3 linked regions of the Mus musculus genome follow. The protein of the gene in region 1 interacts with the protein of each later gene in a biochemical or structural test. Links are inferred from orthologs where the notes say so. Each region holds a gene or a part of one and is shown in the gene's direction. Other genes may lie near its edges.

The links. The genes of interacting proteins can lie anywhere in the genome.
Region 2: the proteins of Erbb4 (region 1) and Abl2 form a complex in vitro, tested with the Homo sapiens proteins (2 studies listed by BioGRID and IntAct, with this or other methods). The link is inferred for Mus musculus from reciprocal best matches to the Homo sapiens genes ERBB4 and ABL2.
Region 3: the proteins of Erbb4 (region 1) and Nrg1 form a complex in vitro, tested with the Homo sapiens proteins (2 studies listed by BioGRID and IntAct, with this or other methods). The link is inferred for Mus musculus from reciprocal best matches to the Homo sapiens genes ERBB4 and NRG1.

Annotation. Positions count from the first base shown.
Region 1 is NC_000067.6:69,103,936-69,111,411, reverse strand, and holds the start of Erbb4 (receptor tyrosine-protein kinase erbB-4 precursor), read left to right. Parts: upstream 1-3,352; 5' UTR 3,353-3,655; coding exon 3,656-3,737; intron 3,738-7,476. UniProt on the Homo sapiens protein: Tyrosine-protein kinase that plays an essential role as cell surface receptor for neuregulins and EGF family members and regulates development of the heart, the central nervous system and the mammary gland, gene transcription, cell proliferation, differentiation, migration and apoptosis.
Region 2 is NC_000067.6:156,555,545-156,562,820, forward strand, and holds the start of Abl2 (tyrosine-protein kinase ABL2), read left to right. Parts: upstream 1-3,242; 5' UTR 3,243-3,504; coding exon 3,505-3,661; intron 3,662-7,276. UniProt on the Homo sapiens protein: Non-receptor tyrosine-protein kinase that plays an ABL1-overlapping role in key processes linked to cell growth and survival such as cytoskeleton remodeling in response to extracellular stimuli, cell motility and adhesion and receptor endocytosis.
Region 3 is NC_000074.6:31,914,810-31,922,096, reverse strand, and holds the start of Nrg1 (pro-neuregulin-1, membrane-bound isoform), read left to right. Parts: upstream 1-3,253; 5' UTR 3,254-3,893; coding exon 3,894-4,560; intron 4,561-4,594; exon of another isoform or gene 4,595-5,308; intron 5,309-6,176; exon of another isoform or gene 6,177-6,323; intron 6,324-7,287. UniProt on the Homo sapiens protein: Direct ligand for ERBB3 and ERBB4 tyrosine kinase receptors. Concomitantly recruits ERBB1 and ERBB2 coreceptors, resulting in ligand-stimulated tyrosine phosphorylation and activation of the ERBB receptors.

The DNA of each region.
Region 1 (7,476 bases):
TCTTTTCTCATGCCATGCAGTTCTGGTTTCAGATAACAAAGGGAAAACTGAACTAGCTAAATGAAAACACTACAAAAAGAGCTTGAATCCTTTCCAGACCCATCTGGACTTTTGTTCCTTTCAAATGGCAGTTTCATTCTTTCTCGTTGCACGGACAGAATGAATGTGAAACTTTTTCTTTCCCAGGAACAGAAATCCCAGGGAGGGACGTGGTGGAAAGGACTGTCTCTCATCTAATCAACAGTGACTGATGCATTTTTCTGTGTTTGACTTGTCCAACTTAGAACCACTAGAGTGTTGTAATGTGGGCAGATTTCCAGATTCATAAGAATCAAGGGAGAAGGTATTCAGCAGGTCGTTCCTGCTCCTTGTTTGTGGTTGGAAAAATAATGAGTTACTTAGTCTCTCCCCAACCACCCACCACCACCCCATCCTCACGCCTGGCCTGGTTTTAAGTCTCAGCTACACATTTTAGTCAAGTGATAAGATTTTATTATAACACCACACTGCAAAGTGGGGAAATACAGAGATCTGTTTTTGCCTCTGGCAATTCAGATAGCATGTCCTTCCCATACCAGGTAGAAAATGTTCTCTGTGATCCTTTTCCTCCATGTGCTAATTCAGCAGACATGGGAAGCTGATGAGAGCAGACATATAAAATAATAATTCTTTTATATTCTGTTTTAATCTTTATGGCCCCACTCAGGATACCATGTTCCTCTATACATGTCTGTTTCTGATTGAAATGATCTAAGCTAGGCTTTAAAATATAAGATTTGTCCCTATTGAATATGGCATGCTTCTATAAGTTACAACTTTTATGTCCAGTTTGTAGGCTCGAAAGCTGTTGGTCAAATGTCAACCCATGGCCAGGTCAATTACTGTTTGATTCAGTAAGAACCAGGAAAATATAGGTCAAGACAAACCCAACTGAGATTTAGATACAAATTATAGGTACCTTGGCAACGTAATTGGTGAAAGTCAGCTCTATGGAGATGGTGACATCTATGATTGTAACTAAAAGTCCTCTTCTGCTAAGAATTAGTCTGGAAAATGTAGGTGAAGTAAGAACACATATAGAGGTCCTGCAGCAATATATAAAGATCTGCAGCAATGGCAGGATAGGAGTTATTATTTTTGAGTACTAAGACTTGAACTAAGGGTTTCATGCATGCCAGGTACTATACTCTCAGTCTCTCTTCAGGTAAATGAAGACAAAGAAATCCTCATAATAGGCACATCTAGAAAACAACACGAGATATTTACACATCCAATCTTTTTCTCATAACAGGAGTTATAATTTAGCTATTATAATTTCTTCCCTTTTCAAAAATAACTGTCACCAGAAACTGGACTCCAACAAAATGTAGGAGCTGAAACTCCCTCCAGTCCCCTAGAAGTAGCTTGTTTTGTCACTGAAATTGTTATTGTGGTGGCAGATGTAAAAATGAGCAGCTTTTACGGAGAAAACGTATCTGAAAGTAATCATAAGCTGATGGAAGACAGGTAAACTGGGCCGAGATTGTGTTAAATGAAAGGAAGAAATGAGATAAAGACGAAAATAGAGATAACTCCCAAGCCCGGTGCATGTGCTTCTGTAGTCAGTGCCATTCTAGTCAAGGCCCCTTCTCTGGCTCTGGGGATCCATTTTTTCTCTGCCCTGGGCTGCTTCTGGATAAAAAGCACACGCAGTTTGTTTGACCTGCAGTGGGCCTGTTACACACTGTGGGGCCAAGGAAAGGCTTCAAGCTTCAGGCTTCTGCTACTGCTGTTTTCAGCTGCCTGGGAATTCTTAAGGGATGGGATCATAGTCAGAAGATGTGGGAGATGGGGAAGGACTCCAATAGTGACCGAGGAAGTAGGGTGGTTTGGTTTTAAAGCACCCTTGCTTTTTTTTTTTTTGTATATATTTAGTCACTGCTTTGAGAGCAAGCATAGAAAATGCCTTCATAGAATAGCTGTACACATAGCAAAGGAGTATCCTCTGACTCACTACAGGTTCTGGCCCCAGCATAGAGCAGTTTTAGACCTGTGGCCTCTCAGACTACAGTAATCCCTTCCAGGGCATTTTAGACTTAGAGAAACTTAGTCGTACAGCGGTTGATGACCTTGGAAGCACACACCCTGCAAAGAGGGCAAGTGCAGGGCCTCAAGCTGGCCCTGCTATGGCGTGGCCCTAACGGCTCGAAGGTCAGCTAAGATCTCACCTCCTAAACACCTTCAGACCGAACAGCACAGACGAGAGAGTTTGCATAATTTCAGAATCAAAGAATGTGGTTTCACAAATATGGATTTTTAAGTTTGGCCCAATGTCATCTTGGGAAGGTGGGAGAGATGGCTTATTTGGAAAAAAAAAACTATTGGAAGATTTCATCTTACCTGCGAGGCTACCAGCTACCTACAATATCCATTCTAAAGTACTAAGTATGCTAAGTATGGAATATTCTGGGTGATGGCGAGGGACAAAGATATTTTATTCCCAAAGCAACGTTGACTTTCTATTTCTAGGGAAGGTTCTGTGTATGGACTGACACCTTGGAGCAATAAAGAAAATGCCCTGTTCTTGTGTCAAAAAATTCGTTCAGCAAGCATTCCTTCTGGTGGACTGACTACTCAGCGGGCCAGCTGTCCAGGGCCTCTGCCGGGGCAGCCCCAAGGGGAGCGTTTCAGACAGTGGTCTCCACTGAGCTTCTCAGATCCTGCTTCCCCAAGCTCCTACCATGACCCTGCTGCTCCCACTGTCTGACAGGTGTTTTTCCAACTCTAGAGGCAGAGGATTTTGGGGAGTGTCTGAGCCAATAAGATTTCTCCTTAGGGGGAGGGCGTGGCTACATGGGTCAGAGCAGGGGCGGGGCTTGCGCAGCGGAGGAAAGCCTGGCTGGTTGTGTGGAGGGTTGTTTGATTCCCACCCCCCACTCCCCTCTTTTTTTTCTTTCTTTTCTTTTCTTTTCTTTTTCAAAAATCTTTCTTCTGACTCTTATTAATTTCTCTGTGGGGCTGCGGCTGGAGACCGCGGAGCGTTGGAAATGACGTTCGGAGCTTTAATTACTGCAATGGCTGGACAAGTGTGAGGAAAGCTGACAGTGGAAAAAAAGGGGGACAGGATCGGGGAGAAGCAAAGAAGCAACACCCCCTCCTTTTCCCTCCAGATTTGGACAGGAGGTGCAAGGAGACTGAAGAGAGAGCTGAACATAGCCCGGTTTTGGGGGGAGAGGCCGGAACCCCGCCGCCTCTTTGCAATCAACTTTTTTTGGAAGCCTTTATTCCCTCTTTCTTTTTATTGTTGACCAACCAGTGAGGAGAGCGAGCGAGCGAGCGAGAAAGTGAGGAGGGAACGAGCGAGCGGAGGATCACTCCGGGAACTAGCTGTACGTTGTGCTCGGAGCACCAGCCGCACAGTCGCGCTCACTCCCACCCGCGCGCCCTCCTCCGCGGCCCCTTGCCGGGTCCGCGGGTCCACGGGTCCTGGAAGCCGCCGCCGTCGCCGACTGGCTCTCCGGCCCCGGGAAGCCCGTGCACCAAGCGCGCCGCGCCCGCCCCCCTTGCGCCCCCCACGCGCTCCCGGCTGAGGGGGGGAGATCTCCTCCGCGTGCTCGCAAGTGGCTATGGTATTTGGACATGTAATTGTCAGCGCGGGATCTGAGACTTGCCAAAAATGAAGCTGGCGACGGGACTCTGGGTCTGGGGGAGCCTTCTGATGGCAGCGGGGACCGTCCAGCCCAGCGCTTCTCAGTCAGGTGGGTCGCGGTCTCGCGGTTCCCGGTCGCGCTCCAGCTGTTGAACCCGCCACTGCCTCCGGTGTTTCCCTTCTCCCTCGCCCCTCTGTCACCCTTAGGCTCCAGGGACCCTAGGGACCGGGCTTCTGCCTTGGGTCGCCCCTAGCTCCATCCCAAACTTACCTTTGTGTGTGCGTGCGTGTGTTTTTAATTGATGCTACAAATGACTTCGCTTTCCTGCCACCCTCTATATTATTGTCCCCCCTCTCGCCCTCTCTTTAGCCCCCTTCTTTCTTTCTCGCGCGTTTTCTGGGAGCCTAAGCGGGATCGCTTCTGGTGGCGCCCGTTGTTCGGGGCGTGGGAGACCTGAGCCCGTCAGTGGAGGTTCCCTCCTTCTCGAGCTGGGAAGGGGGGGGGGGGGAATCAAACCAAACCGGAGAATCGCTGCACCTCTTCGGGCTGCCAGGAGGTTCCTGAGCTGAGCCTGGCTGGCCTTCCCCGGGGTGCAGGGCTGCGGCGGAGCGCGGCCGGGGAGCCGGGCTTGGCACCTGAGCATGCTGGCGCAGGGTCCCTGGCCCGAGTCTCCAGTAGCCTGCGGGGTCACACCGGACGCCCAGCCCTATCCGGGCAGCTGGAGCGCACCGGGTGCGCGCCTCGGCCGGGGGCCAGGGACTCTGGGCCTTCTTAGTTGGCATCTCTAGGCTGTCTTGAGATTGACTTGGGGCGAGAAAGAGGGTGTGTGTGTGTGTGTGTGTTGGGCGTGCGACTCTTCAGCCAGCATGATCTCTCTCTCTCTCTCTCTCTCTCTCTCTCTCTCTCTCTCTCTCTCTCTCTCTCTCTCTCTCTCTCTCTCTCTCTCTCTCTCTCTAAAAGAGCCTGGCATACTGAGTCCAGAGCTCGGCCTTCCCTCCCCATGCTGGACTTGGCTCTGGGAAGAGTTCTTCCAGTAGTGCAACTTGGGGTTGGCCTAAACTTCTGTTTACTGCCCTGCCGGGCTGCAGAGCTCGCGGGTGGCGCTCACTGACTTAGCCCGAGGCGGGCCGGGTGGCGGCGTCCTGAGCGCTGCCACTGTTGGCTGGATCGCCCAAGCCCCAGGTATTTGGACAGAAAAAGGACTAATTGACCCCGAGAGAAACAGTGTCGCTGTCGTGCTGGGGCCGCCAGAGCCAATGACAGCAGCTGCGATGTAGAGGAGCTCAAAGTTTCTTGACTCTTGGGAGTTACCCCGGGGATGAGAGGAGGGGACGCGAAAGGACTAAGGAGAATCTGTGTGTCTGACCTGGCCCAGAGGGGAGAGAAGAGGGCTTTTGGAGAAGGCAGAGAGATTTCCGGAACCTTCCGGGGCTGGTGGCGGGAACGTGGGCGTCAGCTTGAGAAGATAAAACATTCAGGAGTGGCGACAGGGAGAGCTTTAGGTCCCTAGAGGGTGTCCTTCTGACCTCACCGAGAAAGCTGCAGCTTGCTAGTTTTCCCGCTCCGCCCCCGCTCCCGCCTCTTCCTCCTCGCCTAGTAAATAACAAGTTACAATCTCTGAGCGGTTCAAAATGACCTTCGAATGGCACATGTGCGCCATTTGTGCTGGCCGTTTGCATACTCCCAGTGACTCTGAAATTCTTCCTGCATACCAGATCCTGCGCTCCAGCCACCTCTGGAATCAGAGCAGCAGCAAGGACTTGAGATTCCAGGCGGCCGCCTAGATACATCCCTTTCTAGCCCCCGACTCGGAGCCCTTTGCCTTTCCCCTCAATGGGTTGATTATGCACATTGACCCATTCAAAAACACTTGCCACTGTCATGCAGGCTTAGCCGAGAGGAATTTCTATCAGGCCACCCTACCAGGGAGCTGTCTGGCGTGGCCCGGGCCGCTGGGGGGATCCCCGCTTCAAGTCCACAGCAATTTGGTATTAACTCTGCAGCTCCCGGTTGGGGCTATGCCGAAAAGCCCTTTTCAGAATTTAGGCAAGGAATGTAATCCAAATTAGTTCTGCAGCTGTCCCCTTCCGCGTCTCAGAGGACACCAGCCTGCGCCCAGCTCCCTCTGCTCTTTTCCCTGGGCGAATTGTCAGACCCACAAGTGAGCCCATTTAGAAGCAGGAGGATTAGCGTGCCATTGTTGTTTCGTGTGTGACTCTGTACTTGAAATTCTAGGGGCACAAAAGAGAGCCTCACTTGTTCAAAACACAAAGTGATCTAGATGAAAGGGCCGCACAAAGAAAAGCTCTCGGGTGTATCCTCGGTATAATTGCAACAAGCATACTTAGGTGATCTATTGGAAACTGTCTGTGCCCCCAAGGGCTTCTTCTTTTTTTCCAGGCGCCTCCACCACACCTGACAGAGAAAGTTCAGCTGGTTTTAATGTAGTGCTATTATCAAAACAAGTCGCTGTCTGGTGAGAGTGAGGCTCTGTTTGCGGCTGTGCATGTGTGTGGCTGTCTATCCAAGTAAATACATAGCGCGCGTCTCCTCTCTCGCGGTTAGCAGTCAGCAGCAGTTTGGAGGAGTTTGTTTTGGTCCAAATGAGAAATTAAGTGCGGATAAGTAAACTAGGCTGCCAGAGGGCGACAAGATGTTGAGTGAATTGCTTTTAGATGAAACAAATTAAGGAAACGAGGGAAGACAATCTGCTTTTCGCATTATTAGACACGCTTGGAGTTCAGGGGAAAGTGGCAGATTTTTGAAATGCTAATTTCTTAAGCAGAAGGAATGCACCTTATTTACTGCTGTGTGTGAACGGAATAAAAACATATAGTGGGTGTTTCTCTTGTACGATCATCAAGACGTTTCTTGGGAAAATTGTACGCAAGAAAACTTGGTTGTTCTTTTGCTGGAGGAGGAAATAGTCAGCTTTTTGAGTATTTAAAAATAATTTCAAGAAATTTATGTCTGATTACCGGTGATAAATGTTATCTATAAATGTTTTGATCAAGGGCCTTTATATGGCAATTCCACCTGGAGGAATAATTCTACAATGTTTCCTTCTTTCTGTGGTGGAACTTATCAATATCGCTTTTGTAACTGAAATAAAAATATACAGTTGTGTTGAAGTGACATTCTCCCAAGTCTTAATATGTGGTGGACAAGATCATTTTTCTTCTCATGTGCAAGCTACTTAGTTCCCCTGCTTTTTATCTAAAGTGCACACATAGTCTATACACTTACGGCTTATTATTCCCCTCCCCCAATCTTTCAGTGGTATTCTACATTTAAGAAATATTATTAATGAAACTTAATGAGAAAAATATTACACAGATTTTTAAAAAAATGCATCAATCTTTTTTTTTCAGAGTGCCTTTGCAATGGTCACAACCATGGGTACGCTCTCCCCCTTTGTTCCTTTAATTTTTGAAAAGCATGCATTTGTACAAGCTAGCTTTACAGAAGAACATGGTTTTTCATTCTGAATACTTCAAAATAGATGAATACCTCGCATGGTAGCTTCAAATTACTTGAAAACACGGCAAGTTTCTATGGTTGAGATGAAGTGGAATAACTCTGCTCCTGTCCTCATTCCTGGTTTTTCTCTTTAACTCAACTGCCTTTATTTTAATCATGCATGCACAAAAAGTCAAATGTCTTGAAAATCAAGCACTTACAGAAATATATATATATATATATATATATATATACACATATACATATATATTTCCTTTACTCTTTGGAAATGTGTCTTAATTAGGAAATTACATCAGAATGTTTACTGAGGCTTTCATGTGCTGGAAGATTTATGTATTTTTTTATTCTAACCTGAACATAGTGTTTG
Region 2 (7,276 bases), about 87 Mb from region 1:
GTGGAGTAGATGTGGAGCTGGACCTAGGCCTCCTACACATTTGTAGCAGATGTGCAGCTTGGGCTTCGTGTGGGGCCCCTAACAATTTGAGCAGAGGCTGTCTCTGACTCTGTTGCCTGCCGTTGCTTCCCCTTTCCCTAACTGGACTGCTTGGTTGGGCCTTAGTGGGAGAAGATGTCCCAGGGTGGGGTGGTACCCGAGTGAGGGCTTCCCCTTCTCCTCAGAGAAGGGGAGGGAGTAATGGAGAGAGGGACTTTTAAGGGTGGGACTGGGAGTAGAGGAGGGGAGCAATTGGGATGTAAAGTGAATAAATAAATCATACACACACACACAAATCAAGCAAGCCAAAATTCCAGCATGAATTGAGGAGGCGCTCATGAGGCCCCACTTCTAGCTGAGAGGTTATTAATAGTTGGTGGCTGCTGGGGTGGGAGAGTGGTTCTCTTTGGGGATGTGCCCATTGGTAGGTTGGTTGTCCACACTCAGGGACAAGGGCAGAGGAAGGGCTGAGAAGTGGGAGGATATGATCAAAATACATGTGTATACATAGGACATTCTCGGTAATAAAAAACTGTATTAAAACATAACCAGAAAGGAGAAGACAGAACTAGAGGATCCACTGTCATTGGGGAATCTCTGTAAACAAGGAGAAGACAGAACTAGAGAATCCACTGTCGTTGGAGAATCTATGTAAACGGACTCTACAAGCACTGCTCTGTTGCTTTTGCTTTACTGTTTTTTGTTTATTTGAGACAAGGTTGGCCTCGAACTTCTGAATCTTCCTCCTCTGCCTTATATTTTGAGTGTGTGTGTGAATAATAGTATATATTTACATGAGGCTTTGCATCTGCCTGGATGTTTGTGCCACCACAGACGGTTTTTTTCTTTTACAACAAATATGCTTTTCCTCCTGCCCTCTCTCCTTCCCTCTTTTCTTTTCTTTTTTTTTTTCTTTTTACTTTCATGCTTGTTTTTATAAAAGGTTTTGCTATCTATCCTGGGATGGCTTGATTTCTGGTTCCAGCCTTCAGAGCTTCTGGGGTTGCAGGCATATAACTATCCCTGTTCTGCTAGAGCTAAGTTTTGAGTTTAAGCCTTCTAATTTCAGAGTCCCTGCCCTTAACCACAGCACTGTTCTACACAGCAATTACTGTCCATCATTCACGAATTAGCAGAGAAACCAAACTGTTGTCACCAAGTTGAAATTCCACGGGTAAATAAAAAAGAACAAACAATAAAAACAAATCCTACTTCTATGATCATCTTTGTGTTTTGTGAATTAATCTCTTCAGTAACTGTAACCACTTTGTGAATGAAAAGAAAATAAATAGTATTTGGGGCAGCGTCTTGCTATGCCACACAGGTTGGTCTCACTCAGATTCTCGGCCTCAAGTCAAGTGTCTCCCTGTTTCAGCTTTCTTAGCAGTGCGAGTACAAGCCCATAGCATAACATCGAGGTGTGTGGCCACTTTTGTTCTCAGACAGGCTCTTACGATGCACTTTAGTCTAGCCTTGAATTTGTGATCCAACTGTCTCTGGATCTATTATAATAGTGGTACAACATGACACTCAGGGGAAAAAAGGGTATTTTAAATACAGATAGACTTTGATATAAATGAAAATTCATATTCCATCCAGTGCTAAAGTGTAGTGCTTCTTTTCAATGGGAACTAAATTCCGTTGTCTCTGGCTGTACCCTGGGTGGCGATGAAATAACTTAGAGTGTTCTTAGTGTGGGCACATGTGTGTGCGTGCCGGTCACAGGACAACTTTTACTGTCAGTTCTTGCTTCTTTTAAGACAGGGTCCCTTAGCCACTGCACATGTAAGCCAGGTTTCTGGAGACCCCCTTATCTCTGCCTCCCCCCTTCTTGTGGACCAGCTGGGATCACAGAGCTTGGGCTGGTGCATCTGGCTTTTCTCTATGACCAGTAGCTGCTTGTGTGGGTCCTAGGCAGCAAGTTCAGGTGGTCAGGCTTGCAGTGCAAGTCTTCTTTGTCATTAACCCATCTTTCCCCAGCTCCTAAGGCTCTTTAATAGTGAATATCAAAATCAGCTGGAGTGGGGGGCGGTAGTAGCAAGTGGTAGAGCACTCACCTGGAACTCAAGGTCCTGAGTTTGAGTCTCACCCACATGCACTTGTGATCTTACACCATTCTACAAAAGACATGTATGGGGAATTATATCTATTTTGCTAATTCTTTTCTTCCCCAGGGTGGTTTTCCTTGGTTTAAGCAATGGCTCCAGTCCTCATGGCACATAGGGTGTACATCTATAAAAATAGCTTCTCTTCTGTCCATTTCTCTATTTAGACCCCAGACGGTGAAGATGAGTAAGTTTTGACTCAGAAACAAGGTCAAAGTGATTTATCTTTTCCTTGCCAAAAAGGAGGGCCCAACCTGCACTGAGAGGAAAGCATGTCTGTGAGAAGAGTCGCTTTACTGTCAGGCATTTTATTTATTTATTTATTTTAAAGATTCATTTATTTATTATATGTTAGTACACTGTAGCTGACTTCAGACACTCCAGAAGAAGGCATCAGATTTTGTTACAGATGGTTGTGAGCCACCATGTGGTTGCTGGGATTTGAACTCGGGACCTTTAGGAAGAGCAGTCGGCGCTCTTAATCACTGAGCCATCTCACCAGCGCCCCACCAGGCGTTTTAAAGTAAACAGAAACACATGCGGGTAGGTCGATGGTGGAAGAGTTCAAGAGAAATCCACGGTAGTATGAAGAATTGAGTTCTAACCGCTTTGCCAATAAGACGGCAAAGTGCACATCAAGAAATAATTCACCGAATTAAGTTAACCCCGCACTTGACCATCTCCCCGTGAATTCTGTACCATTCCAAACTTCATTCTGGGCCCAATGCTAAGTGTGTGTGAAGGGCTCCTCAATTGAATGGCAGCGAAGCCCAGGGATCAGGAGCCTCAGCTGTTTGGTGCTGAGCTGCGCGGCGCACGTGGTGGCTTCTCAGCCTCTTCTGATTTGACAGGTGGAGGTGGGACGGGAAAGGCCGGGCGCCCACAGTCCTCCAAGTGGGGCAGTGTGTGGAGCCGAACGTGGGTGAAGGTAGCAGTAAAAGCACTCGAGGGCCCTCGAAAGCTTCGCTGACCCTGTGGGCCCCGGCTTCCACCCAGCGGGGCGCGGCGCGGGGCGGGGCTCCGCCGAGCTCCGCCCACCGAGTAGCGGAGGTGCTTGGGCGAGAGGGGGGCGGGAGACGCTCTGTCCCACGCTCGCCCTGTGCTCGGTGGTTTAAAGATGGCGGCGGCGGCTGGGGCGAGGAGCCGCCGGAGGGGGAGGGAGAAGGAGAGTCTGTGAGTCGCTGGGAGGCAGCGCGGCAGCGGCTCCGAGGAGTCCGCGTGGGAGCCGCCGGCAACTCCGGCCCAGAGGGCCTGGGCTTGGGCCGGAGAGACCGGAGCGGCGCCAGGAGCTCCGGAGGCCGGAGCAGAGGAGGAATGTGAGCAAGGGTCGGCGGGGGCGCGGGAGTACGCGAGCGGCGGGATGGGGCAGCAGGTGGGCCGCGTCGGGGAGGCTCCGGGGCTCCAGCAGCCGCAGCCGCGCGGGATCCGGGGCAGCAGCGCAGCCAGGCCCTCGGGCCGCAGGCGGGACCCGGCGGGGCGTACCGCAGACGCCGGCTTCAACGTCTTCACCCAGCACGGTGAGTGTGTCCGGAGCCGGTGGAGGGCATGAGGGAGGCCGGGGAGGGGTGGGGTGGGGTCGGGGCGAGGTGCGAGGCGGATGGGCAGCCTTCGGGGGGCGAGGGCTGGAGGGGTGCCCGCGAGTGGGGGCGGAATCGGCTGCCATCTGGGCCAGTCACGGGAGGCGAGGCACACCCCTCCCCCCGCCTGGCTGGCAGCGTCTGGGGGCGGCGGCGGCGGCGAGCACGAACCGGGGTCTTAGGGACCCAGGCTTGACTGTCCTGCTATCCTGGGACAGGACGGGGCGACTGTGGAACTGTGGATGGTATCCCCAGGGAGGGAAGGATGAAGGCAGGTATGAGCTCAGGTTCAGGAGGTGGGAGGATAAACCGGTTGTGAACGACGGGAACGAGTCGTGCCCTGAGGAATTGGGAAATAGGTACTGAATCTTTAAGAGATTGTGGTGGCATATTCGGTATGTGCTTTATGAACCAGGCGGTGAGCAGTGTCAGAATGGTGAACTGTGAAACCCTTTTCCGTATCTTTTTACTTTCAACAGAGTATTTTCTCCAAACTAGAAATGAAAGGCTTTGCCAAACCACCCTGTTCTGCCTATCCGAGTAGGACACAGGATTCTGAGATGGCTGGCGGGGCTGTCGATGGGTGGGCATGGTTAGGGCTTCCTTCCATGTGGTCTGAACATGAGTTTTTCTTTGAGCTGCATTGGTGTATACATATGTGCTCCGCATAGTCTGGGACTTACTCGGTGTCATATTCTTCAGAAGGGCTGTTTCTAAACTATTTAAAATTATATTTATTTTGTGTGTATGTGTATGTGCGCACACACCCATGTATGCAGAGGTCAGGAGACAACTTGGGGAGTCATTTCTCCCAGGTATTAAACTCTTTATCAGGCTTGGGGGCAAGTGCCTGAACTCTAGTAAATACAAATTTTGAGCACATACTCTTAATTTGTGTGTCTTTATTAATATAGACAAGGTTATAGTAATTAACAAATAATGTAATCAACGGTCAGAAATAGAGTATAAGAAAGGGTGCCATGAGGAAAATTAAGTATAGAGCCTTGTAAATTAGTGACAGTGTACACAGCTTATGTGAGGCCTGAGTTCAAGCCCCAGTATCGAAGAAGAAGAAGAAGAAGAAGAAGAAGAAGAAGAAGAATGAATGAATATTTTTTCCCCTTGATGCCAAGTGGATTCTTTTGTTCTTCCATAGTGTGTTGTTGACCATTTTTAAGAGCATTGTTCTAGAGGAGGGCAGAATAGAGAAGGAGAAAAATATCAGAAGCCATCCTAAGACCTGAGAGGCTGGTGATGGAGATGTAATATCTGTAGGAAGGACCGGCTAGCAGAGGTAGCAAGCTGGTTTCATTGATAATATGTACAGGAGTGAAGTGAAGGATAAACTGTCCCGCTGCACATAGCTCGGGGAAAGGGAAGGAGAAGAAGTGTAGACTAGTCACGGGAAAGGGCGTTTCAAAGGAAGTGACGATAGCATGCAAAGAGATGATCCCAAGACTTGTAGCTGCTGGGTGAGTTGTGTCCGAGTTCTGCATTTGGACTTAGGAATAGACAAATTTTGTTTCCCTTTTCCTTTTTTAATTTGTAAAAGCAAAATGTAATTTTACATGTGTGTGTGTTTTGCTGCATGTACATATACATACCTGATGCCGTATAGGCAAGGAGGAGGGCGTTAGGTCTCTTCCTGTAGATTGATGGTTGTGAGCTGCTCTGTGGGTGCTGGTAACTGAACCCAGGTTCTCAGGACTGGTTAACAGCATTCTTGCACATATGAATTCAGTTTGGGGCAAGTATAATAGTACGCAACTTTAATATCAGCACTTGGGAGACAGAGACAGAAGGGTCTCTTAAGAGTTCAGGGCCACCGGGCGTGGTAGTGCACATCCCAGCACTTGGAAGGCAGAGGCAGGCGAATTTCTGAGTTCGAGACCAGCCTGGTCTACAAAGTGAGTTCCAGGACAGCCAGGGCTACACAGAGAAACCCTGTCTCGAAAAACCAAAAAAAAAAAAAAAAAAAAAAGAGTTCAGGGCCAACCTGGTCTTACCTGTTTTCACCAGTATTCTAATTATAAAAAATGAGGATGTGTTAAAATTACCATGAAGGTTTTCAACCTGGGTAACTGGGATAATAACGATTTTATTGACAAAGTTGAAAGTTAAAAGCTGATGGATAGGATGTGAATATGGTAGCCCAAGACTAGTGTAAAAAAATTAATAAAAACTGGAAGAAATACAGTAAATCCTTTTTAATTTGGGGGGGGGGCGCACGGGTGCTCCAGGGGATTAAACTTGAGGGCCTCATCTAAGCTAGACCGGTGCTCTCCCACGAGCCCAGGCATCCAGCACAAGGAGGACTCTGGAATTTAGTTAATATAGTCATTCAATTCAAAGTCTACCACATTCTAACAGAAGTGATCCACAAAGGATAACCTGGCCTACCAGAGAGGCGGGGGTAGGAAATGTGGAGACATTTTTGCTTGTACCTAAGGAGACAAACTAGAGGACTAGGGAGGTGGCTCAGTGGTCAGGCGCTTGCCTACCCTGTCCAAAGCCCTGCCTGTAGCCTCCTATACTGTTTTCAAGACAGATGCCTGCGGCTTAGACACACTCTGAATTTGAGGCCAGCCTGATCTACGTAGGAAGTACACACTTGTCATGATTGTGAAAAATAGTCTAGATTATGAAAATAACACATATATCACTATCCTTTTCCTACTGCATCCTGTAATCCCAGCCTGGGAAAGCTGAGGCAGATGGATTGCTGTGTATTTCAGGTTAGCCTAGGGGTGTGTAGTGAGTAGCAGACCAAAAGGGCCCATGTAGCAAAGCTGTCTCAAAAAACTGGAAAAAGAAATCACTGCCTTGAGTATATTGAATTATTAGCATATAAGTCCATAACTAAAAGCTCTGGTGTGGCGCTGGAGAGGTGTCTGAGTAGTTGAGAGCTTGCTGCTCTTGCAGAGGACCTGAGTTTGATTCCTGAAACCCATTCTGGGTGGCTCATGACTGCTTGTAACTCCAACTCCAGGGCATTTGATGCCTTCTGACTTCCTCCAGCATCCTCTAATGCATGCACACTAAATAAAAATAAATCTTAAAAGTGTAATAGGTCCTTGACTTTATGTGTAGATTTATATTTTAAATTTTATTATTATTATTGTGTGTGTATGTGTGTGTGTGTGTGTGCGTGTGTGCGCGCGCGTATGCGCCTGCATGTATACACACACACACACACATATATATACACACAATATACACACACACACATTTATATATTTTGTAGGGAGGCAGTGTGTGTGTGCACTTGTGTTTGAGTGCAGGTGTGCATAGAGAGCAGGGAACAGTTTTTGGGACTTTTCTCTCTTGTCCTGGGTCCTGGATTGAACACATGTCATCAGGGTTGCACAGCGATTGCTTTTGCTTGTTTTTTTTTTTTTTTTGTTTTGTTTTGTTTTGTTTTTTTGAGACAGGGTTTCTCTGTGTAGCCCTGGCTGTCCTGGAACTCACTCTGTAGACCAGGCTGGCCTCGAACTCAGAAATCCACCTGCCTCTGCCTCCCAAGAGTGCCACCACGCCTGGCTGCTTTTGCTTGTT
Region 3 (7,287 bases), on another chromosome or scaffold:
GGGGTTGTTTTTTTATTTTCTTTCATTTTTAAAATTTTTCTCAGTAGAAACAGCATGAGCCTGGCCTTCTTAAAATATTACCCCTTTCATTTAATAGTTATTCCCTGCTTAACTTCCCCTAGCTACTTGTCTCTTCATTTTCAAGGTGAGTGGACTTTAAAGGATGAGAGATCAGACATAATGTATGTTATGAACTTGAGAGTTCCTGGCACATAGGTGGAGCTCAATAAACATAGCTTTTATGGTTATGAAGGAGGTGGTAATTATAGGGTTTTAAAAAGCAGTAAGATTTTTGTCTTATTTCATGTTTCTAAGAGCACATGGGAATGGGTGTTCCTGGGTTTCATTAAGGTGGACTTCACAGGGTTAACAATGGTCTGCCCTTGAAGCTCTCCCTATAAACAAATATGTTGCTTCCCAAGAAGTGTGGGGTGGTAGCCCCACCGATGCTGGCTTCCTCATACTTTATTGCTGAAAGGGATCTGAGGGAGGTGACAGGCAGCTTCTGGCACCTGTCCCCAGGGGAGAAGTAATGGAGAATTCCTTTTTCCCCCCTTCTGTCCTCCCTTTTCCACTTCCATTCTTTTTCTTATTTAATAGAAAAGAATAGCAAAACATAATGGTTTTATAGGATTTCTGCATGCTAATAGGAGCCACAAAGTTCACAAGATGCACATCCAAGGAGGGGGGCATACATCCTAAAGTCTGACTCTTGTAATCTGATCCCTAGGATAGTTGTTACAGTCCTAGGAGTCTAGTCCCTCTTTGGTGTTTTGTCCTAGCCTGTGGGTAACAGGATCATTTTCCTTGTAAGTGACAAGGGTTTTAAATAAGACAGCTTGATTCGGCAGCCACCTTCCCTGTGATTAAGGTTAATATGACAACTAGAGAATGAGCCAGCAGCCTTTTCTGTGACTGAGGTAAAGCAGGTAATTGCTATCGGTGGGAGTGACATAACACCTTTTCAGAGCTGAGGGTTATGTCCTTGGTGTTCCCTCACACCTGCCAGGCTTGTAGCTACCTGATTCCACCCAGTCCTTGACATTTAAATGACCTTGGCTATGGATAAGCTCCCTGTTCAGTCCTTGAATGTAAGGTTTGAAAGCAGACATGGTAATCCATGAGGAAACTATAATCCTTGAGTATGTCAAGATGCTATTTTTATTTGAAAATTTACATAAATATTGGCAACTAAAATCTTAAGCATCAAGTGCTTTGGTATTTGGTATTTGGATTTCTCGCTCTAAAAAACTTCATGTCCATCACTAGAATCTTTGTTAAGAAAACTCTCATTTTCTCAAAATCAAGTAAATGAAGCGAGAAAATGATCACATGAACCATTTCAAAATACTGGTGCATACACATGCAGGTTGTGTAGAGGTGAACTTCCGATGACTCATTTGTGCCTGTGAGCTTGTCATAATCCTGGTTGCAATCATGCAAATCCAGCCAGGCTTTTGTTGGTGGCAGTGGTAGGACAGAAAACATAGTTTAAGATACTAATGCTCTTTGAATCATTCATAATTGTGGAGTAATTTCATCTGGAAGGAAATTATAATATTCTTACCTCCTGGCATGTGAAAAGGCTTAAATAAATATACTTCAAAAACAGTAGAATTGTCCTGCATAAAATGAATTGCAGATTTTCTTAAGAGTTGAGCATTGCCTGTCACTGCCCTGGGTCTGCATGGGATGACGATGTTGTCTGGATTTCGAGAGAGTTTGTAAGAGTTCCCCTATGGACACAGTTCCTTGGAAGTCATTTGGTTCCTTGGAAGAGTGGCTTAAATGTTCAGATGCACAGACAGACACTGGAACACCACGGAATGTTCCCTGGAGCCTGTGCTCTCTCTTACAGTGAGTTTCTTCCATTTCTTCCAGTACTTCAAGTCCTGTTTCTAAACAAACAAACAAACAAACAAACAAACAAAAATCAGCATGGAAGCTATCTGTAAATCACAGTTTCTGAAACCTAATCCACAAGGCACGCTCTGATTGAAAATTCTCAATACTGGCAGTGCGATTATAGCTGAGGAGATGTGGTGTGTATTACAGTGCCCAGGGAATTCAAGCCTCCTCTGCAGTGTGGAGTCAACATGAAAGGCTAATTTGAAAATGAAGCGGTAGATAGCGTAAGTGTTCCTCTTAGGTTGACATTATTCTAGCTTACTCTGGATGGAATAAGGAGGACTCAAATGTAAAGAGCAGGAAGACACTCGGGACTTTTCCCCTTCCCCCACCCCCCCTCACACCCCGCCCCGCCCCCGCACACACTCAGCATTTCGCTCTGAGCATTGAAAAAGTCTTTAGCCACAAGAAGGTGGCTGAAGGAAGAAGGCAGAGCTGTCCATGGTTTAGAAACAGTGCTCTAACTGCTGGTTGAAAACCGGGTAATAAGAGTCCTGTTAGTGAACAAAACTTATTAGAGAACTGGCTACGGAAGGAAGGAATGCCGCTGAACAGCAGGCAGGAAGAAATTGCTGTTGAAAAGCCTACCTCTCTGGGGAGGAGTCAGAGATCAGACTTTGCCAAGCCTCAGGTCTAACCCAGAAGGTCCCCACCTCCACCCCCCACCCCATCCCCCTCCATCCCAGCTTTGTTAGATTGCTAGCATCATCGATCCCTGGCTTTTTCTGACCCCACAGTGGGTGAAGAGGAGAGAGCCAGCAAGACTGAAAGCAAGCAAGGTGGAGTGTGGGATGGGAGACTGGGGCCTGCTTTGGTAGAGGGAAATTAGAAGGGGGGGGGGGGGAGGAGGCCGGGGGAGACCCAGTTTAGCTGGTTCCCGGCTGCTTCTCTTTTCTCTGGCCTTTATTCCTTGTAATTGGATAAAATAGGAACTCACTGGCGGACCTGCGTTGCTGGGTATACTGTACTTATTAGAGACCAGCTAGCAGTAGAGTGGGGACTGGGGGTGCGGGGCACAGGGGAGGGAGGGAGGGAGGGAGGGAGGGAGGGAGAGGGAGAGAGAGAGAGAGAGAGAGAGAGAGAGAGAGAGAGAGAGAGAGAGAGAGAGAGAGAGAGAGAGAGAGAGAGAGAGAGAGAGAGAGAGAGAGAGAGAGAGAATATATCTTTAGGAGGAGGAGGAGGGAAGAAGAGAAAGAAGCTATGAAGAAGGAAGATTGCAGAGGAAAAAGTGACTGAGCGCAAGAAGGACAAAGAGGAGTGGTTGGGGGTGGGGGTGGAGGCAGGGCGGGGAAGGGAGTTACCGCCCCTCCTGGCTCCTCCTGCCCTCGCATCCTTGTGCAATGGTACTGTTTGCCGTGATGCTCAGAGGGCAGGCACCTGCTGCTCTGTAATGATTCAGCCTCTTTCAGCCGCTGCGTTAACACGACAGGATGCTGTTGCTACTGTCGCTGCTGCCCCTCCTGCCGCCGCCGCTGCTGCTGCCGCCGCCTCCTCTGGTCTTGCTTTTGCTTTTACTTCTCCTGCATGACAGTTGTTTTCTTCCTCTAAGCAGACACCAGCTTCAGACGCTTGAGGTGAGAAACATGCCTTTCAGTTTGGGATACTGGTTTACTTAATCAGCTAGGCATCAGCTTGCTTCCTCTTTTGGTCCCCTGCCTTCTTGAACCAACCGGGATGGTTTGGAGAAGCCTTTGAAAGAACTGAAAAAGTGTCCCAGAAACAACAGCTCAAGATATTTCGGTACACTTCTATTTCATAGTTGCTAGAAGCCCTTCCTTTTTCGTTTCTTTTTCTTTTTTTTTTTTTCCTTTTTTTTTTTTTTTATCTTTTTCTTGCTTCCTCTTAAGCTCTCTTACTTTGGATAATGGCCTTGGACTTGGGTGCCTTATCGATTTCCCCCTTCAAGATGCTGTATCATTTGGTTGGGGGGAGCTCTGCATGGTAATGCACTGTGAGAGAGGCCGGGCCTTCTGGAGGTGATCCGGATGGAGATTTATCCCCCAGACATGTCTGAGGGAGCTGGCGGGAGGTCCTCCAGCCCCTCCACTCAGCTGAGTGCAGACCCATCTCTCGATGGGCTTCCGGCAGCGGAACATATGCCAGACACCCACACAGAAGATGGGAGAAGCCCTGGACTCCTGGGCCTGGCCGTGCCCTGCTGTGTCTGCCTGGAAGCGGAGCGTCTCAGAGGGTGCCTCAACTCCGAGAAGATCTGCATTGTTCCCATTCTGGCTTGTCTAGTAAGCCTCTGCCTCTGCATTGCTGGCCTAAAGTGGGTATTTGTGGACAAGATATTCGAATACGACTCTCCTACCCACCTTGACCCTGGGGGGTTAGGCCAGGACCCTGTTATTTCTCTGGATCCAACGGCTGCCTCCGCTGTTCTGGTCTCATCCGAGGCATACACTTCACCTGTCTCTAAGGCTCAGTCTGAAGCCGAGGCTCATGTTACAGGGCAAGGTGACCATGTCGCTGTGGCCTCTGAACCTTCCGCAGTACCCACCCGGAAGAACCGGCTGTCTGCTTTTCCTCCCTTACACTCCACTCCACCGCCCTTCCCTTCTCCAGCTCGGACCCCTGAGGTGAGAACACCCAAGTCAGGAACTCAGCCACAAACAACAGAAACTAATCTGCAAACTGCTCCTAAACTTTGTAAGTAGTGAGAGAAAGAAAGGCGATGGTGGCTTAAAAGAAAGGGTGGGAGGGAACTTCCAGAAGGCAAACTCTAGAGGGTTAGCTTTTTCCTTTGAGTTTGCATTTTAACCGGGAGGTTTTATTTGGTGAATCACGTGACAGGGAAAAAAAAACAAAATAAAGCAATTTTATAAACTCCTAGGATGAATCAGGTCTTTTAACAGCAACTCCATGTAGCCAGGTTGTTAAGTCTGAGGTTGTCAATTAAGAACTACAAGCATCTTTGAAGTTGGGCTTTGGATGTAAGCTAAGGTCAATTGATTTGCTATAGTTTTAGAAGTTAATATCTGACTGTCCTTCATATTTTAATAGGCATGTAACGTCGGTGTGCCAATAAGTATTATTTGGTATTGCGCCTGCCATTCAGTAGAGTTTCTTTCGACTTTCTTCTTCCCATTCTGTTTCCCCGGAGCCCCAAGCTGCCTGTCATCTTTCTCCAGCTCTTCTTCCTGCCTCTTTAGTACATCTCTGCACGTCTGAATTGTCATTGTTTGATTCTGATACTGCAGCAAGTCTGAAAGACACAGTCCTCCCTCTGCTGTCCTCAGACCTGTGCCGTACATACATTTGGTTACTGAGAACTGACCAGAGGCAGTTTGTATTTTGTTCAAGACAGACTGCAGTTTTCCACAGAAGGATTTTCCTAAATGAGTTTTGTCTTCTGTAATCAAGCATTTAAGTACATTCCTGCCCAGTCGTTAACAAGGTACCTCTTTCTTTTTTTTGAACGTGTGTCATTTAACCCCATCTTGTTGCCAAAGCCTGGCTTAATAACTTGTGTGGGAAAAGACTCCACGCTATTAAAACAATCCAGAATGAAACACTGGTGTGTGCAGAGGTCATTGCCTTAGCTTTATGATGGAAAGTTGACAGCCATGAGATGATGACTAGCCAGATTGTCCCAAATGTCAGCACTGAGCTGGGTCTTTTGGTTACAATATTTAAAGAAATGTTTTTAGTGTTTTCAGTTCCTGTCTTTCCCACTCTTTCTTATTACCATCGATGAGTTTACTTAGTAGGAAAAAAAACCCCTAAGATATGAGAGAATTTGATTCTCAACAATGCATGTGAAACACTTTAGTGTTAGAAGGAGCTGAGGGTAGAGAGTTTATAATAAAGCGCCTCTTCAGTTTTCCCTCTAGACCGTAAGGAAGAGTAAATAAGACCTCCTCCATGCAGTGCTGTTTAGAATGAAGTTGTGCACTATGCTAGGGAAACTCAGGAAAAAAAAAAACAAACAAACTTGATATGTGCACTCCATTCAAGGTTGTTTGACATCTTCCAGCTTCAGTGTAAAGACTTCAAAAGGATGCCTGCGTTTCGTTTCCAGGTGTAATTGGGAGAGCCTCCTGTATGCAGATACCACTTTGCATCTTCCATCAAATCCCTAAAGCATCATTAAAAATCTGACAGACTCTCTGCCTTTGCCGCCTCTCCCCACCTGGCAAAGTGACCGGGAAATAATCCCCAGATGAAATGATGGGCTATAAAAAGCAAGTGCAGTTCCTGCAGAGAGGCAGCATTCTCCACGCAGGCCGACAAGGTTACCTCTTTGTCTTTATTGTTTTCAACAGAAAAAGCTTCAGCTGAGATATGCACGCATTGGTTGAAGTGCCCAGAAAAACTGAGGAGGTAGCTCTTTGAGAAACTCTTCCAGACCAACTGCAATTTTGTCATCTGATGTGAACAGACAAAAGAAACAGACAGCACATGTCCCTGAAGTAGGTCCCCATTAGAAAGCCCTCAGAACTTTTGAGAAATTGATTTTGAAAGGAAATTCTACTAAGTGTTTTTATAGGCTATATATTCCAACCCAACCCACCCAATCTGTCTGTCTCTCTGTCTCTCTGTCTTTCTGTCTCTGTCTCTCTCTGTGTGTGTCCTTTTTCTTTTCCTAGCCAAGGCATTGATTTTTATGGCATTAGCAATAAGTAGGGAAGATTTACTGCTGCTTAAAAGCCTCTGCAGAAGCCACCTCTGGCCTGAGCGCAGCTGCAGTATTCTGAAATGTGTCCAGCACAATGTCTGTGAAGCAGTTTTCTCTTGAAAAGTTGGGGGGCTGGGGTGGTGGTGGTGGGGAAGACAGTTGATTAAAGCTCTAGACCTGCGGGGTTCTCTATGTGAAAGTCTTACCTTTTTGGACTTAGCAAGACTCAGCATCCGTCAGGTGAGGCTTGGTGAGTCCAGGAATGTTGATTTGCAGACCTGCCGTTGGTTGCTTTTCTGTTGTTTAGAAAGGCTGTGGTCATTAAGTGAAGGAGAAGACAATGCTTAGCCTGGGGCCCTTGTCTTGTCTGCTTTTTCATCTGGGTTGGTTGAGAACGTTCAGTTTAGTTGTAGAAAGAACTGGACTTTCTTCTTCGCTGTGCAGGTTTGACATGGGCTTTGCCATCATGGCCTTGGTTTTCAAGTGACATGATTGGCTCTGAAACAAGCTCGGCCATGGTTTCAAGACGGCACCGTCCCTTTCCCCCTTTTCTTCTGTCTCAGCATAGTCAGCATCTCAAGCGCAGAGCTCTAGCCTTCAAGGTCATTGTCTGTGCAGGGCTAATTGATTCTTCTTCATCCTGGAGCCCCAGAAACTGGACGAGTGGCAGACATAGCTTTATCATCGACTCTCTTACTCCCAAGCCCAGTTGACTGCCTTGTCTTGAGATCTTATTTTATAAATACTAGAATTATCCA